Linked DNA regions of Drosophila melanogaster. The protein of the gene in region 1 interacts with the protein of each later gene in a pairwise test. Each region holds a gene or a part of one and is shown in the gene's direction. Other genes may lie near its edges.

Region 1 (3,346 bases):
GTATTCGAGACATTCCTTGCAGGAACAAAATGTGAAGAACTCCTCCTTCCGGTGTTTCACAAATATGAAGGCAAGATTCTGGAAATATAGCTACAATGGATTAGGAGTACGTTTCGTTATACATCTTAATCCTTTCAAGCAAACACACCGTAATTGCACGCAGCTGTCCGTCGGCGTCACGAAGCGGATTCTTTGGATCCTCAGAGAACAGGCGCATGTTCTCAATGGCCATCTGAAAAGAAGGTGAACGATAGTGAGTATTTACTGAGAAAGCTTTATATTCTCAAATATAATGTATTTGGTATGATTGCACCTATCAATATTCTAAAGCATAATTTCAAATAAGTGTTCTTTAAACCAAAAAAAATCATGTTTAAGTATTTCGAAACATCTAAAGTCGATCTAATAAGATAATTTCTATCCCATTTGATTTGATAACTCATTAAATCCAATCTAAATGTAGGTATAATATAAAAAAATCCCACACACATCTTTAATAGTACATTTAAATAAAAAAAATACATGAAATGAAATCGATCTCCACAGCTTTCGGGCAGCTTCTGGGAACCCACCAAATACGATCGCGTCTCATCGTTGGGATCGCCGCCCTTGTGCTCGCACTCGTGCAGCAGCTTGTCGCTGAGCTCCAGTTCGATGGCGTTGTCTTCCCGCTGGCTCCACTGCATCAGCGATACGACCTCCTTGTAGACCGTCTCCGCTTTGGGGGCGGGGGCATAAGGATCAAAAGGAGGCAGGGCGAGGATCGTGTGCAGCGTGTTGATGATGTTGCCGTCGGGAAAGCTGAGCCGCTCCAGGAGCTGGCATGGCGGTGAGCTGCTCCGCGCCGGCTTCGCCTGTTGGACACCAGCAGGCGGTGGCGACGGATTCAGCTGGGAAGCGGTGGCGACGCAGGAGGAGGACGCTGTGGCATCCACATCGCCCTCCGCATCCGCATCTACATCTACGTCCATGGAGGACAGAGACATCACATGGCAGCAGGAAGGCGGCGCCTCCTCCATTGGCAGTTCGCCATTGACCAGCGGCTCATCTGCATCCGTTTCTTTGGTGTGCGCCACCTGATCGGCCATTTCTGGCGGGGCTTTCACGCGGTGGATGGGTCAATGAGCCCAGCCAACTCAGTCAGTCCCCGGCTCCGGATCACTTGTTAGTCTTTGGTGCTTCTGCTGGCCAAATCCGCGTATGCGCGACGCATTATTATATACGAAATCACAGATGTAGATGCACTTTCACTCGCTCACTGTATGCGCGCGCGTGTCTGTGTGTGTGCGCTGGTGTGTCGGTGTGCAAGTGTATAAGTGTGGGTATTGGATTGGTTTGGTTTTTGGAATCGAAATCGGTTTTGGAAAAGAACGCAGAGCAGCACAACGCAACGCGCTTTGCCCCTCGAATCGCGCCAAGTGCGCCTCTGCTTTCATCAGCGTTTCACTGCAGGGCCATCCGTTTGGATTTTCCGGGACCCGACTTTCCGTTGCCTCGCAGTTTCCGTTTCGTTTGCACCCACGATTGTTGTGATTTTCCGCTTTTTGTGATTTTTCGCCTGCTCGTTGCAATTCGCTCGTTTCTCGTTGATTGCATTCGCATCGGTGTGCCCGTGGCGGCCTTCGCTCAAATTACCGCAACGCCGCGCAAGAGTCACGAATAAATGGTCATACCCCGTGCACACTTGTTTGGCCGAAAAGTTTTCTACATCTATCCCAAAGAACAAACACAAACTTTTATTTATATGAGCTTTACTTTACTTCTGTGTGGTCCATTCTTAGAAAACTATACTAATGCGTTCTTAAAAATTTGATTTGGGAAATGTTAAAAAAGCATTTTAAGCCATACAAAAATTGTAAAACCATAGGAATGTATGTTTCATATACTTTTTTCAACATATATTGTAGGTAAAACAAATCATCATGTATTTATACAGAAAAAGGTCCCAAAGATCTAAAAATTTCCTATTCTGTCTATGGAATAAACACATTTATAATGCAAGAAAATATATTTTACAGTAAATTCTTTCAATTCGATAGTGGGCCAAATGTCGTACAGAATATATCCGTGTCCCTTCGATGTGTTGACAACCCTGACCGAATTTCGTAATTTCGAAACGAACGAATTCAGCCGGCGAAGTGGAGAAGAAAATGTCCGCATCGACGGACCAGGATCCCGTGGAACTAATGCTGAAGAAGACCGGCTGCATAGAGCTTCACTACAAGGTGCAGGAGTGTATCGCCGAGACGGGCGACTGGAGGGCTTGCCAGGAGAAGGTGAAAGAGTTCCGGGCGTGCATGCAGAAGTACGTGGAGCAGCAGAGCCAGAAGTATGCCCACGTCAAGTAGCATCCTGCAGAAGTTCCTCAGCAACGGTTTGGCCTTCGGCAAGTCCACCAAACTGGCGCTGGTGGTCCGAACCGACCTAAAGATGTCCAAGGGAAAGACAGCGGCCCAGTGCGCCCATGCGGCGGTCATGTGCTACCAGAGCTCTGTGCAGGGAACCAAGCTGCAGAACGCCATTCTGCAGCGTTGGTGTCGCCTGGGACAGCCGAAGATAGTGCTGCGCGTGGACAACTTCGAGCAGCTAAACTCCCTGGAGCGACAGGCCCAAGAGTCGAACGTGGTGGCCGCCTTGGTGAGGGATGCCGGGCGCACTCAGCTGGAATCTGGGACAGCAACGGTCCTCGGACTGGGTCCAGCCCCTGCCGAAGATCTAGACAAATTGGTGGCGCATTTGAAGCTTTTGTGAACTCTTAGGTTTATGCAACGTTACAAATAAAGTACAAGTAATCAACAAGTGCTCAAGCGGCGGTCTTCTTGCCCTTGGAAACTGTAGATATAGTAAGGGACACTGCTTGGCCGAACATCTCCACCAGGTCTGATGTAACTCGCTCCGTGATCTGCCGCAGCTTGCCATTACCCTCGCCACAGATTAGGCGCTCGATTCGCGTGGTGGGGCACTGAACCTGCACGGATGTGTAGACAACATCTGCAAAGAAAATCGGAATTGAAAAGGATTTCTTTACGAGTGTACAGAAGTACTCACTTTTTTCCACACTGTAGTACTCGATCTCGCACTTAAGGTTGTAGGGTATCTCCTGCGGCAAGTAGTCCAGCAGACGAGCCCGCACACTCTCCACAATTAATGCTTCTGGGCTGGAGTCCGTATGAATGTCAGCTGGGTATTTCCAATCCCTGGGCTTAGCCTGGCCCACCAGGTAGTTCTGCATCTCCTGCAGCCCATTGCCGGTCAAGGCGGAAACAAGAAACACGTCGCTAAAATGGCTCCAGCTAGACTCCCGCTTGTTGATTCTTATTTCCTTGGCGAGAGCACTTTTTGCCTG
Region 2 (4,802 bases), on another chromosome or scaffold:
ATAATTTTAACTGATGCCTTTGAGTGTACAAGTATTGGCTTACATAGTTGCCTTGTCCCGCTTTTGTCAGTGACAGTGCCAGTTTGGACAGATGTGTTAATTCTAGAGGGAAGTTCTCTAAAAGAGTTTTGTACAGCGAACACGGACCATCATCTAGATAAATGTAAAGTTGTTCGTTCTAAACTAATTTTTTCGGTTAAGCTCTTTTGATTATATGATACTGACCTTCCCGACTGCAAAAGTCTTTAGCTAAGTGTGGCCATGAGACAAGTTCGCAGAGCAATTCGTAAATGCCCTCATACCGAGCGCAGCTGCCATCGCCGTCGAAGAGGTCGCACAGATATCCAACCTGGTTGTATATGGTTCTTCGCACAATCCGTGACAGCATAGAGTCATCGGCGTACATAGAATGTCTGGCAATTAGGTGCAGTTGGACAAAACACTTAAGATCCACGGCTCGCTTGCCCAGCTGCCGACAGCGGAGCAAGCTGGAGGCATCGTCGGCATCGTTGGTGCCTCGCAAGCGAAGCAGCATCCACGCTAGGAGCAAAGGGCCATGCTCTGGTCTGTGGTACATGCTGGCAATATCAACCTGCAGATCCTCTATAAGCTTTTCAATTAGATCGGAATGCTTCTCGGGCTTCTCAAAGTCGAGGCACTTTAAAACTAACATTAGCTCTGAGTAAGAAAGGCTTCGAATAATCTCCTGATGGTAAGGTTGGCTGTCATCCAGATAACTTTGCATCTTTCCAAAGGAGTGTTGCTTGCAGGCGGCAAATATTCTCTTTATCTGCTCCAACCCCATGGGCAGGTGTTCCGCTAGCACCAGAAGGATGTGCAGCACCTCGTTGATCTCACGAGCATTTCGCTCCGACCAGGCAACTAAGCGTTCCGCAGAGTGGAAGCATTCTCCCGCCATTAGCTTTCTGGGTGGGACTTCGCAAATAAGGCTCTCCAGTTGGTCTAGGTATGAATCTCTAAGGCGGGGGATGGTTATCTTTTCGACCACGGCGCGATACTCCCGGTGATAGGGATGATTCGGTACCTGGTGAAAGACGATAAGATTCTTAACAATCTTGAGGACAACCATGCGTTCCAGGGAGTAGTAATGCCGTATGTCTTCGTGCAGTTTGGCCATATTCGTTTCGGTAGAGATTAGTTGGGTAAGGAGACTCGCCGATCCACGGTACTCCTGCGTAAGGTAGTAGCAAAGGATTTCCCAGCACTGGGCGGATTCTAGATCCAACAGATCCTGCAGTCGTTCGGTGAAGGGCAGCAGCTTTTCCTGCTTTTTCTCTTTGAGCAACGTGCCCAGCTCGAGGCTGGAGGCATTCTTGGGCTTAAATTGGAGCACTCCAGCCTGCAATTCAGAAGCCACGTTCATCAGCTCCTCACGTACAGTATCCTGCGGCGTCTCATAGTGGATTCCTGAGACCATCGGCCACAGGCGCTTCCAATCGGTGCTACATGGCAAATCGAAGGATTTTATTTAGTCATTCAATATTGTCGCACTGCCGATACTCACATCACGCTCTTTTCCACCGCAGGCATTGTCTAGGCTCTGTCTCTTAACAACTACAATAAAAAATTATTTAATAACAAATGTATTCTGTTCCACGCGCAAATTCGCGGCGTTGGAGTTGCCACCTAGCACAATAAAATGCCGGGACAATCAGCTGGTAACACCGAAGGTGTATCGATAAAACGATAGTTCTTGTTTTAAAAAGCCAGTTAGAAAATTGTGATACAGTACTTTATACATTTTCTTTAGCTTACTAAATCTTACTTAAATCAAGGTATGACATCTTAGATCTGATGATCGCTTATAGATTTATACAAATAAAATATACATGGAAAGCACGTGTGCGCCCCATTATTTATCTATTATTGTAGCATTACAGTTAAATTGGTATATATTTCACGCGAATAGGTTTAGAAACCTATTTTATAGGTTTCAAATATAGACGTTCGCATGTGGCCCTTCAATCATAACTTGACACATGCATTTAGCATTCAGATCTTGATATTTCCCAAATATTTCATAAATAGCCTTCCAATCCAGCCGGACTAGAACTATTTAGGTTAGACTTTCCAATCACATAAAGCCATTCCAGTGAGGCTGTGGCTGCGGCTAACAGACCTGCGAAGTCAGAGTGCAAAGTGCGCAGATGCTGCACTCCGGCGCCCACTGCACCGCCCAGCCACCCAACCACGCCATTCTAGAGGCCCATTTCTTGGAAACTAATACCACTACTCCTCGGCTAGCCGCAGCCTCCCATCTTTTCCAGATCTAAGAGCGAGCGAGAGAGGAGCGGAGAAGGCGCGAGAGAGTAGGCGCACTCGAAGTTCACGTTCACGGCGCCTGGAAGCTGCAGCCCGAAAATTGTCCTGTTAGTACGAGAAAACTATTGACAGGCGAAAGGTCTAAAATTGCTCATATTCTGGCAGAAAAGGCAGATTGGACTTCAAAAGTCTGATAGCCGCAATGGCTCAAGTTCAGCTCAACGCAGGAAATGGGCAAGCCCCTAGCAACGGAAATAATGTCGAGGATAATGAACGTAAGTCTGCCGATTGGCAATTGTGAAATCATAATAGAAAATTGAGTGATTGCCCGGAAAGTGCACAAGTGTTGGTCTGCACAGTCCTAGTGGAAGGACATATGTGCATACCTACGCACATAGTGTGTGTCATGTATCAGGATATATGTAGGTATATATGTATGTATCATAAAGGTGTATGTCAGCAGCAGCTAGCATCTTTGACATAGCTAGGATGCTTTTTGGCCTGGCGTTGGGTGATAACTTAAACGGGAGAGCGAGCATGAGAGCAGGATAACAAAGAGAGAGAAATGTCTGAAAGGATGCTGCGAGAGCGCCAGAGATGCCACTGCTGCCCAAAAGCAACAAGTTTTTGAACTTAAGCTAAATCAGATAAGGCTAGAACTACCTCGATTTCGTTAGTTAATTTCGTAGTGTATAAAGGGGTATCAAATATAATTATTATAATCTGTAAGCTTTTATATTATTCAAAACAAGGACAATAATTAAAGGTAACTTATTTCTTTTATTTCCATAGCCTATCAAATAAGTGACGATGATTTGGATGACCTGGATGATGATTGCTTGCTCGAGGAGGCAGATACCTCAGGGGCAGGCAATAATGTGGGACGTGGTCCTTACGAGCGTGCTTGGACCACAGAGGCCACCAGGGCATTGATTCACATACGCGGTCCCATGGAGGGTAGCTTTACAGAGGGCAGGTGAGCAAGGTTTTTATTCCACCGTAAAGACATCTTTGTAAAAGTAACTCCCTTACAGACAAAAACGGACTGCTCTTTGGCTGCACTGCACCCGGCAACTACAGCGACTGGGATTTCGCTACTCCGCCGCAAAGGTGCAGAAGAAGTGGCATAACATCCTCATCACCTACAACAAGAATCTGAACAAAAAATACGTATCCGGCTATGTGCACTGGGAGTTCTTCGAGGAGATGTTCAAGTATCTGCAGGGCAAGAAGGCTGACTTTGATATGCAGTTGCCACAACAGACTTCAAATGCGCCACAAGCTCCACATTCGGCTAATGGGCAAAACCCGAATCCGGGTATTCCCCAGCAACCTTTACAGCTTCAACCTACTCCGGTGAGCCTAAAGCCGGGAACACCCCAAATGCAGGTGCAACTTCCACCCCAGACTGCGGCCAAGGACAGCCAGCCGTATATTACACCTGTGGATCAGGTCCTGCTGCAGGCCCAGATGAATCTGGACAGCAAGTCCAACGATGAGTTCGATGAGGATAGCAACAGCATGTCGGAGGTAGTCCGTCAACCCAAGATGGAGTACGATGGCGATCAAGTTGCGGAGGCTGAACGTACAAACGATAGCAGCCAACATCTGGAAGTTAATGGCAAGCTCTACGATCTGGCACGACCCATGGGCTCGCACCAAGCTTCTGGCATCCCCGATGACATCTGGTGGAAGGACTACTTTGAAAGAAAACTGGAAGTGGAGCGGGAGAAGATAGAGCTACAACGGAGTTTGCAGCGCGAACAGGTGCAGATCCAAAAAATGTCACTGGTGCAGCAGGAGCGGATTGAGCGCATGAAGATCGATGCCATCAACAGCCTGACGGGCACGCTGCAAAAGTTGGTGGAGGCCAAGTGCCGCCGGGCCTAAGATGAATCTGTTCCCTCCCAGTAAATTTCGATAACTTTAGGCTTCGATTCGTCTGTATCTAGTTGGGTGTGTAAATACAATTTCGGCTAACTAAAACACTCTACGGCTGCCAGTCTATCTCGAAAATGCTAGCCAGGGAGGTCAGCTTTCCGTGGGGTTTCTCCAGACCATAACTTAGGCTCCAGATATCCGTGGTAAAGATCAGACCTTCTCCTGCATTCAGTCGCATCCGCAAGCTTGGACATATTCCTTTATTGCAGGGCTTCTTTGGATGGAGAACCATCTCAAAGTGGCCACTCAGTTGCTGGATGAGCACTAGGCCACGCACGTATATATCGGCTTGGTTTCGCTTTTGCTGATGGACTGCCAATAGCCAGCTGGAGTAATACGGGGCCAGGTGAAGTGGGTAGTAGTAGGGACGATCCAGAAAAAGCCGAGAGGACTTCACCGCCTTCTTCTGGCAGTTCCTCAGTTGAAGGTGCCAAGAATTCGATGTCTGTCCCTGCCAGGAATGAATCTTATCCAGAGCCGCCTCTAGGTTAAAAAGTTTCCTCAGCAACAGATTGCTGGAAACATCACAAGGTTCACTGGTTAGCCACTGAGGTGACTTCTTCTCTATTTGCTCTAGG
Region 3 (4,122 bases), on another chromosome or scaffold:
TTAAAAATTGGCCAAAAAGTTTTAGAAGCCCTTTAAAATAACTTTTTTGCACTGCTCAATTCCTATATTAAAGGTCCCTAGCTCAGGATTTGGATCTTAAAATCGATTTTTATGCCTGAAATATCACATTTTTGAGCATAAAATGACAGATTAACTATCATAAATTGGCCAAATAGTGTCAGAAACACTTAAGAATAACATTTTTGTACAGCTTATGACCTAAACTAAAGATCCATATCATAATCCAGGCGTTTTTCCAAAATCCATTTTTCGCCATTTTTTGAATTTTTCATAAGGGGTAACATCATTAAAATTTGCAAAAAATTGAAAAAAATTAAATTTGTCAAATTCGAACACCAATCGATTGGGGATGTGATTACGAACTAAACGAGGTATTACACTCAGGATTTGGACGATATAGTCGATTGTTTTGGACAAAATACCGTTTTTTTGGTCCGAAAATCAGAGGGTCAATCCTCTACATTACATTAAGTACATTAAGCCCTAGGAATGCCTGTTTCGCACAGCTAAAGCTCAAAACCATAGATCCTTAATACGATACTAAAACATTCACCAATTCAAATTTTATAACGATTCCAAGGAATCGTTATTTGAATTCGATAAAAATATTCATAAAGTTCTTTCAAAGCCATTTTTATCTTAGGTTACTTCACCAAACTGAAGGAATGACCGCTTTGTGCAGCCATTTGTGTATTTATATGTATCTCTGAGAAAACCCAATAAAATTAGAGACCATAGCATTTGCCCAAAGCAACTCAGCTGACTCGTACAGGACTCCAGACCCTCCGCAGCCACCACAAATAAGTGTCCTGCGATTTTCGGGCTTGCTAAATGGTTTACGAATGGGCACGGCATGTGCCTGCTTTTGTTTAGTGGCCAACAGCGATGCCAACTGCAGTCGCAACCCACTTGCTCGTGCTTATGGCGATGTGGCCCCGCACCGCCGCCCTCGTGCAGATATATTTATAGAATTTAAATTTAAACAAAAGCGAGCAGCAGCAGCAGTGAAGAGCGGCAGAGTGACCAATGCGACGGTGGCTTCGGCTTTCCAGGGCGCCTGCTCCTGACAAGCTGACAGGCCTGCTGGGCCTGACTCTGGATGCCGGATGCCGGGACCAGGACCAGGACCTCGCCCAGGCGACATTTCCACTTGTCATGCTTTTGCTTGAGTAATTAAATAACAATTTCCCTCCGCGCTTTACACGCTGGCCGAAACAATGGCGCCAACGCAATTGACAGCCACTGAAAGTGACATCGGATCGGAATCGGGATCTGGTGGGCTAAAGCCGGAAGACAACTGACGATTGGCGGAAGGTTCCTGACTACTTCAATTTATGGCTATAGGAAATGCGCCTCTGGGTTAAATGGCCACATGTTGAGGCATTGCCTCCAATCTGTGGCAGTGGGTCGAGTTCATCGGGCTGAGGAGATATAATCAGTTGGGATTAGAACATGTATTATGAAAGTAACTTTTAAATTTGAATTTCTAGTACCGAAACTTGCAGATTTTGCAGCACTGGATTTAAACGAAAATTGGAACTGTTATTTGGGAGCGCCACCGATAAAAGCTTTTCGCAGTCAGTTGGCAGTACCTTGATACTATTTTGAAATGCAAAATGAGAATGTTCATCGTTGTTAGTGTTTCATTTAATTGCCAAAAGCAGTGTGGCCTTAACAGTGTGGCTTTTATAGAATCAGTTTAAAATCCTATGGAACCATGGCAACTCTGCCTCGCGATTGCCGCCATCTTAGCCCAGGTTCTTCCACTCGTGCTTGACGCACGTGTTTTCTTCTTTCCGAACTTTTCAGTTCAGAGAATTGATTTCGATAAAACGCGATGGTAAAAGTCCACATACGTCAAATAATTTCACACCTAAAATATTTCCTTGTATTTCGCAGTCAAAGCGCTGCTGGAACCGCAACCAGCGCTCGGTGTCCCTGCCCAGGAGCGAATTCGTCGAAATAAACCCCATGATGCCCGGCAGGAGCACCGCAGCTGAAGGCGCACGCGGGAGAGCATCATCCGGACCTCGGATGACCGTGGAGACCCTGTTCCATACTTCTCACTCGGCGAAGAAGGAGCGTCCACAGCAGGGTGCAAAACCCATGGAAAACCGAGTTTTGAAGGAAAGCTCCACGTCTAAGAATTCGCGTGAGATGCCTTCTCTGCTACTCTCCACCAAGGGCAGGCCAGATGGCACTTGGAATAATATGAGAGCCAAGGAAAACAAGCAGCATCGCAAAGAAGGGAGTCGCCACCTGGCTGCAACTTCCACGATGCCCAAGATGGATGAGCTTGGACCCGACTGGCGAAAACCTTGGCCGATCGGCGGTTTTTCTCGGAATAATCGTAGTAGCCCTCAGATGTTCAGTACAGTTCCTTCGAAAAGTTCTGTTAACATTTCAAGAGACAACAACAATTATCCCGATTTAAAAATAGAAGACACTGGGAAAAAGAGCCACACAGTCACAGGAAAGGCACCGAACACGCGTGCAGAAGATCAAAGGTCAGGAATGGTGGCCCATCTAAGCGGTCTAAATAGCAAGACTAAGCACACGAGGCTGATGAGTACTTCCAAGCGCTGCAAAGCAGGTTCGGAAGATTCTGTTTACCATCAGACCCTGAATGATGTCATCTCCCAGTGGGATTGCCAGCCGTCGACCAGTAAAAGTAATCCATGCCAGATTCCGAAGATTCCGAATCTGCCGTCCGGATGGACAGCTTCGCCGAGCAAAGACGCGGACTTCCCTTTCATGGCGGATCTGGAAAATAGGATGGGGGTCGAAAGTCTGATGCCCGAGCTGCTGACTCCATCGCGCACCTCCCAGCCGCTGACAAAGAATTCTCCGCCTTGGGACTTGTATGCCTTGATGGGCAACGACGACAAATTTCCGCTTAGCATCTGCACCGATGAGAGATCCAAAAATGATCCATTGTGGGGCTCCACTTGCATTAACTGGGAAGAAAGCAGCGGCAGGAACTTGGACTTGAACCACGTCTGCGAGAGGGCCTTGGGAAAATTCCCAGGCCCATCTGCTACTCCGGGAAACGTGGAAGATTGGCAGGCCATCGAGACTATTTGCATGCGTTTGAGGGGCTTCGATATGCCGGGCGACCTGGGTGTTCTGATGGAACCTCCATCCTTGGATGATGTACTCGAGGTTATCGGGGACTTGGAGGCGGAGAACAAGAAGGATCTGAAGAATTAGTTGCATATATGTGTAAATCATGCTGAGTATAACTTCAGCCAAAGGAAAAATGACACTAGAAATACCAAAACTTTTTTTTTATAAATATTTTTCAAAATTTTTCGAAACGAGACACGTGATTATCCGCCGATCTATTTAATATTTGAGAAAAATCTGTATGTAAGAACCTGTGCATTTCTATTCCCCAAAACCAATAGTGCTTCCATACAACTGATACAAAAAACTGGTGAATTCTGCCAAGTTAGGCAAATATTTTATACCATTTCACTGACTCCCAGCATTTTTCCCCAGCTTGTAACAATAAATACTGTGTGCAGCTGCAGCAACAATAGCTGGGAAAAACAGCAATGGCATCAATTTTTTGTAACATGTTGCCAAACATGGCCGAGACCACGCCCACACGCCCACAGCCTGGAGCAGAAGGACTCCGCCCGATGCCACCGATACTGATACCGATGCCACTGATGTTGCTGCTCCTGCTGCGGTGGCCACTTAAATGTCGTTATGTTGTCGGGTCACGCGCACTGCCTCCAGGCTGCCCCACAACCACGTCTATCCGACATCCAAATCCATGTCCATGACCATGTCCTTCGACTCTCGTCCGTTTTTCGGCCAGCGGGACCAAAGGGAAAAACAACTTTATTGCCGCAGCAATTATGCGTAGCTAATAAAAATGTGCGGAGGTGTTGGCAGCAGCAGAAGGGGGTCGCCAAATCGGAAAATTGGATGGGTGATGTGGGAGGGCAGCCAGTTTCCTGGGCGGGCAGGCAGCATCGACAGCGAAACGATTTATGCAATCGAGAATAATTAATGCGCTGATTTATTTAAAAGCGTGTTTTGGCATTCAAATGAAGGCGCCAATTCTAAAGAGGACCGTTCTTTGTTCAATTA
Region 4 (4,721 bases), on another chromosome or scaffold:
AGATTTATTATACAATAAAAATGGGATGTAAGGAATCGATTTATAAAAACATCATATATGTCATTCTATCAATCAAACTTTTGAGACTTTTGGCCAAAAATATGTTTTAATTTATTTATTAATTTATTGTTTTTGAATGATAGCTTTAACCTTTTTTGGGCACATGCTAAAATTCAGAAAACAAAAATATTTTTTCACTGATTGTGATCAATTTGAAGAATATAGTATGAATATGAAATGGACAATGTGAAACTGTGACCATAAAATTAGGTATTTCAATCCTCACAAATATTACTACTTACTTCTGTTAAAACGTTTCATATTGATGTTGCACGAATTACGAAAGGTAATAAATATTCCTGTTAGCTGCAAGCCAAAACGTGCAGTTTTCAAAGAAACATATCGCATTGTTCTAAGATCTTTTTTTGGTAAGGAGTTCAAGTTCGAAACCCCGACTTCGTTGGTGGTCTTGGGTCTCCTGCTACGTCTTCTGATTCTCCTGAGAGCACACACACTTAATTAAAAATAAAAATCAACTTGCGCTGAAAATGAAAAGTGCAAACAGAACATAAATCAACTTTGAGTGAATCAGAATAAGAATCAGAATCAGATTCGAAATCGGAGTCCTCAAGAACTCAGTTTTGAAAGACTGGACCCAACGGCCTTGCTTATCAGCCGTTTTCCCTTGCTTTCCTCATTCGTTGGCTCTTTTAGACGCACGATCTTCTTATTCCCTTTTTCAGCTTTTTCGGGTTCAGTTTTTTTTTTGTTTTTGGCTAAGTTGCCATTTTGCCGTTTGCGGCAACAGGTTCTTGGCTCGCTTCTTGGCCCCTCTTTCTCTCGCGCTCTCTTTGTCCGTCCCTTCCCCCTCCCATTGATATGGATGAGTACTGGACAGCGGCAACAGGTTCTGAGCGAAAAGAGCCGACTCTCTCTCTCTCGCTTTTACCCTCTCCCACTGAGATAAGTGACTTTCAATACGAAATACAAACATACCTGTTTGCTTCGGCTTTACTTGATAAGAGGCTCTAACCCCCATTATTTAGCACTAAATTTACCACTGGGTCTTGGACCCATCTCTCTCTCACACGCACACACATGCACACGCTACACTTGCAGGTAGAGCTACAACAACAACAGCTTAGTGGTGTCTCAAGATAAAGATACTCTCTCTTCGGCTCTCTGGTGGACTGATTTCCAGCTGGCCGCTAACGTGGCCTAACTGAAAAATGCAAGGTATGATCGACTGGTTACAAATAACGTAACAAACCGAAAAAATGATCATGTGACACCAAAATATAATATCCTTAAATAAATAAAAAAACATTGCCTACTTTCTGGCGAATTTCTCTGTGTGCTCCACAAAAATTAATAAATTTTGCAGAAATCATCATCATTATATTAGCACCTGTTAGCTTAAAGAACTTAAAAAATATGGATTTTGTTAATGTTTTAAATTATATTTCTTTTCCCAAATTCTTCAATAAATGTTGGAACTTTAAATTATTAACCATAAGGCATCGGTTATTCCGCGAAATTCTTCCAGCACATTGTGTAAATCTAAAACACACATTACAATACAGGGTACTAGGATAGTCGTGTACTTGGAGTGAGCCAGTAGTAGTCTGCGGCTTTTTCGCAATCGCAGAGAGAGAGAGCCGGAGGGAGAACGGGCACGAGCCCGATTGGGATTGGAATTGCTTGATCGCGAGTTTCAGTCTTCTTTTGGCTCTCGCACCGTGCAGTTCGTGAGGAAAAGCGGAAAACCCAAGGAAACCCAGAGCGTTGCATGCCCCGCGATTCGGGGCTCGTGTCCGTGTACTGTGTACCTGTGTGCCCGCGTGCTCGTGTGTGTGTGTGCTAGCTTGTGAGTTAACAAAAAATGAAGCAACCGAAAATGCACAAAAAATTAAATGCAGTTTCTACTCAATGAAAATGCTGTGAATAAGTTTAATCAGCTCTCAAGCTCGTGTAAAAAGCAAGGGAGAAAAAACAAACAACAACAACAATTAGTGACCAAAAGCACGAAACGGCACAAAAAACGACAAAAACAAAAGGTGTCGTGTAAAAATGCGACCGAAAAATTACAAAATTCAGCAAACATAAACAAAATAAAAAAACCCGTGTACAAAGATCAACCTTCAAGGCTAGAAGAATTCTTCCGCCTTAAAAACAGAGCTTTGTGTTGCCTTTTAGCGGGTGGCAAGAAGTTTTTGATTCTCCCTCTTCTTTATCTTCATCGTATTCTTCTGCGTCTTCTCATTTTTTTTTTCGTGGCTGCTTCAACAAGTTTTCCCCCCAACAGCAGGGATTTTCCAACCAGTTTTTGGCGCTTGCCATTTTCCGCGCTTCAAAACTTCTGCCCCTTCTTCTGCTTCTTTTTTCTTCCTTTTGCGAGTGAGAAAGAGTTGGGAAGAAAGAGCGTCAGAGAGAGACGGGAATATAGACAAGGTGGAGCTCAAGAGCAGCTGCACATTTGGCATGGGTCAGTTTAAAAGACGAAACCATACTGATCTCGTTTGCATTTCTACACTTATAACCATAAAACCTGGCTTACAAAAATCCCCCAACCTCCCCCATTAAAAAATAGGTGTGGGGCATGTCGGTACATGTTTTGGATTATTTTCGACGGGTGCCACCAGTGAGAAAACACATTTGCGGTAAGAAACGAAATTCATTCAGCAAATGTATCTTTGAATAAGTGGTTCGTGTGACGACCAAAGCAATTACATAAGCTAGTGCAACGAAAAGATTCAGACAACTCGAAATTGAAGGTGTTTTCTTCTAGAATTGATTAAGGAGTGTTAGAACGCGGAACAAAAGAAGGTTGAAAAAACACTAATGCAATTGAAAAGCTGATAAGGCAGGTAGAGTCAACTAAAGACAAATGGAAACAATTAGGTTAGTGATATAGAAAATGAACAAAGGTGCAAGTAATAGAGGTGAAGTGGGATGCTAAGGAAGCTCATAGATGCGAGCTTAATACGTTTATATTGAATAAAGATAAGCCACACGTTTTATAACTGACTTCGGTTGTTAGACTACCGTTTAATCGACCAACTAACATGATACAACGTATTCAATGTAATTCAAATGCAGAGTTTGGCCTGAATTGGCCCAAACAATAACTGAGAGGCAGAGGCCCCAAGACAGTGGAAAATTTGCATAGACCACCACAAAGCTAGGAGAAAACAAATTCTCGAGTGCTAAAGAAATCCAATTCAGATTCTGCCAGAGATAACGGATGATAAAGAGCGGGAGGGGGCAGTAATAATAATTCAAATCCCCATCGCCCAGGTGACAGTTCTGCACTGCAATCCAGGGAAAGTGGGCGTTAATCGTTGACTCGGTGGGAATGGGCGGGTCCCATTCTGGGGGGAAGGAACTCGGAGCAGGCGTAGGGTTTCCATGTCGTTTCCATGTGACGACTTATCAACTGTCCCGACGGCAGGAGAGACGGGCTGGGGGGATCGCTTAGCATCAACATCAAATACTACTCAAGAATTTCAAAGCAAACTTGTTTGCTCAACTTGCCAGCGATTTGTGGGAGGAATGGGGGGTTTGCTACACAGAAAGAAAGTCAATGTAATTAAGTAATTTCGCTGGAAAATTGATCGATTTATTATTAGAAAACAATAAATAGAATAGCCGCTGGTGTTAATAACTTTTCTTTAATCATCGAAATGCCTTCTAAAAACTTAAGGGCCGCACCAAACGCACTCAGATTTTTTTGCCGTGTAGCCAGGAAGGTAGGTAGGTGGATCTGGTGGTAAAGGTGGAGGTGGAGCAAAGACCGAGTTCAATACACTCGGCGGCATTCAGTGACGAACATTTGGCTTTTGGGTGTTTTGAACTCATTTCGAAATGCGTAAAATTTGTTTTGTCTTTGCGTCTTTTATGTGATTGCCGTTGGAAGATTGATTAAATTATAGAGATGTGTTGTCGAGCGCCAATTGGTTTGTTGCCGATGATCTATTTAATTAGGAAGGCAAACAAAAACATCCGTGGAATGCGCTGCGAGGCGACCTTGCCATATTTGACGACTGGCTTTTCTATCTGCTTTCCACTCCCAGCCAACTTGAATTGTCGTCGTCGTCGTCGTCAACTTCATTGGCAACTCGTTTCGTTTCTGCCTCATATTTTTCACCCAGTTGCCTCTTTGGGTGTAGAGTTTTATCTTATCGGTCGCTGTTACCGGCTTGGCAGGCTAAGACTAATTATAATCTTATCTGTCACAACTAAGTAGTGCAAACATCAGTGGAACTGTAACCGAAACAGAGACGACCCCGTGGAAACATCTACAGCTGCGAATTTGGGCTGAGATCTGTTTCGCTGGAGCTGTAAATTCCTCACATAGTAAGCTGAAATTTCGGGAAAACAACATGCAGAGTGTTTTCCCAAATTTCGCAAAAATGTATGTGTGTTTGTGACCGCCTTGCCAGCTAAGCAAATAAACAGTGGCAATGATATAGGGGCGAACACCATCGCCAGAGGAATTCAACGTGTCCGAAAAATAACTTCCCAAGAAATTGCCATTTCATCACTATTTGAGATAGAATGGTATGTATGTGAGGTGGATTTGCGAGAGGTAAAAGCCACAAAAGTTGTTTACGAAGCGATCAAACTTTCTAAGACTGCAGGAATGCTTAAGGTGAATTTCATAAGCCTTCCCGAGATATTCTTAAACTAATACTTGTATTTGCTTTGAAAACTATACGGAA

Evidence for each region.
Region 2: the proteins of CG17327 (region 1) and CG13148 interact in a two-hybrid assay, tested with the Drosophila melanogaster proteins (one large-scale study listed by BioGRID).
Region 3: the proteins of CG17327 (region 1) and CG13577 interact in a two-hybrid assay, tested with the Drosophila melanogaster proteins (one large-scale study listed by BioGRID).
Region 4: the proteins of CG17327 (region 1) and Shrm interact in a two-hybrid assay, tested with the Drosophila melanogaster proteins (one large-scale study listed by BioGRID).

The regions. Positions count from the first base shown.
Region 1 is NT_033777.3:12,996,327-12,999,672, reverse strand, and holds CG17327 (uncharacterized protein), read left to right. Parts: upstream 1-1,946; 5' UTR 1,947-2,150; coding exon of another isoform or gene 2,151-2,331; coding exon 2,332-2,751; 3' UTR 2,752-2,797; downstream 2,798-3,346. Other genes in the region: CG7518 (uncharacterized protein), read right to left, coding at 1-90, 149-232, 573-1,088; CG44194 (uncharacterized protein), read left to right, coding at 2,151-2,348; CG7488 (uncharacterized protein), read right to left, coding at 2,804-2,991, 3,049-3,346.
Region 2 is NT_033778.4:12,684,522-12,689,323, forward strand, and holds CG13148 (uncharacterized protein), read left to right. Parts: upstream 1-1,727; 5' UTR 1,728-1,796; intron 1,797-2,087; exon of another isoform or gene 2,088-2,265; 5' UTR 2,266-2,485; coding exon 2,486-2,558; intron 2,559-3,075; coding exon 3,076-3,259; intron 3,260-3,317; coding exon 3,318-4,173; 3' UTR 4,174-4,265; downstream 4,266-4,802. Other genes in the region: Nup188 (nucleoporin 188kDa), read right to left, coding at 44-153, 226-1,463, 1,526-1,551; CG30053 (uncharacterized protein), read right to left, coding at 4,274-4,802.
Region 3 is NT_033778.4:24,266,829-24,270,950, reverse strand, and holds CG13577 (uncharacterized protein), read left to right. Parts: upstream 1-1,771; 5' UTR 1,772-1,858; coding exon 1,859-1,861; intron 1,862-1,920; coding exon 1,921-3,231; 3' UTR 3,232-3,574; downstream 3,575-4,122.
Region 4 is NT_033778.4:14,306,427-14,311,147, forward strand, and holds the start of Shrm (shroom), read left to right. Parts: upstream 1-1,715; 5' UTR 1,716-1,867; intron 1,868-4,721. UniProt on the Drosophila melanogaster protein: Binds to Rho-kinase Rok and targets it to the apical cell cortex where it mediates apical constriction.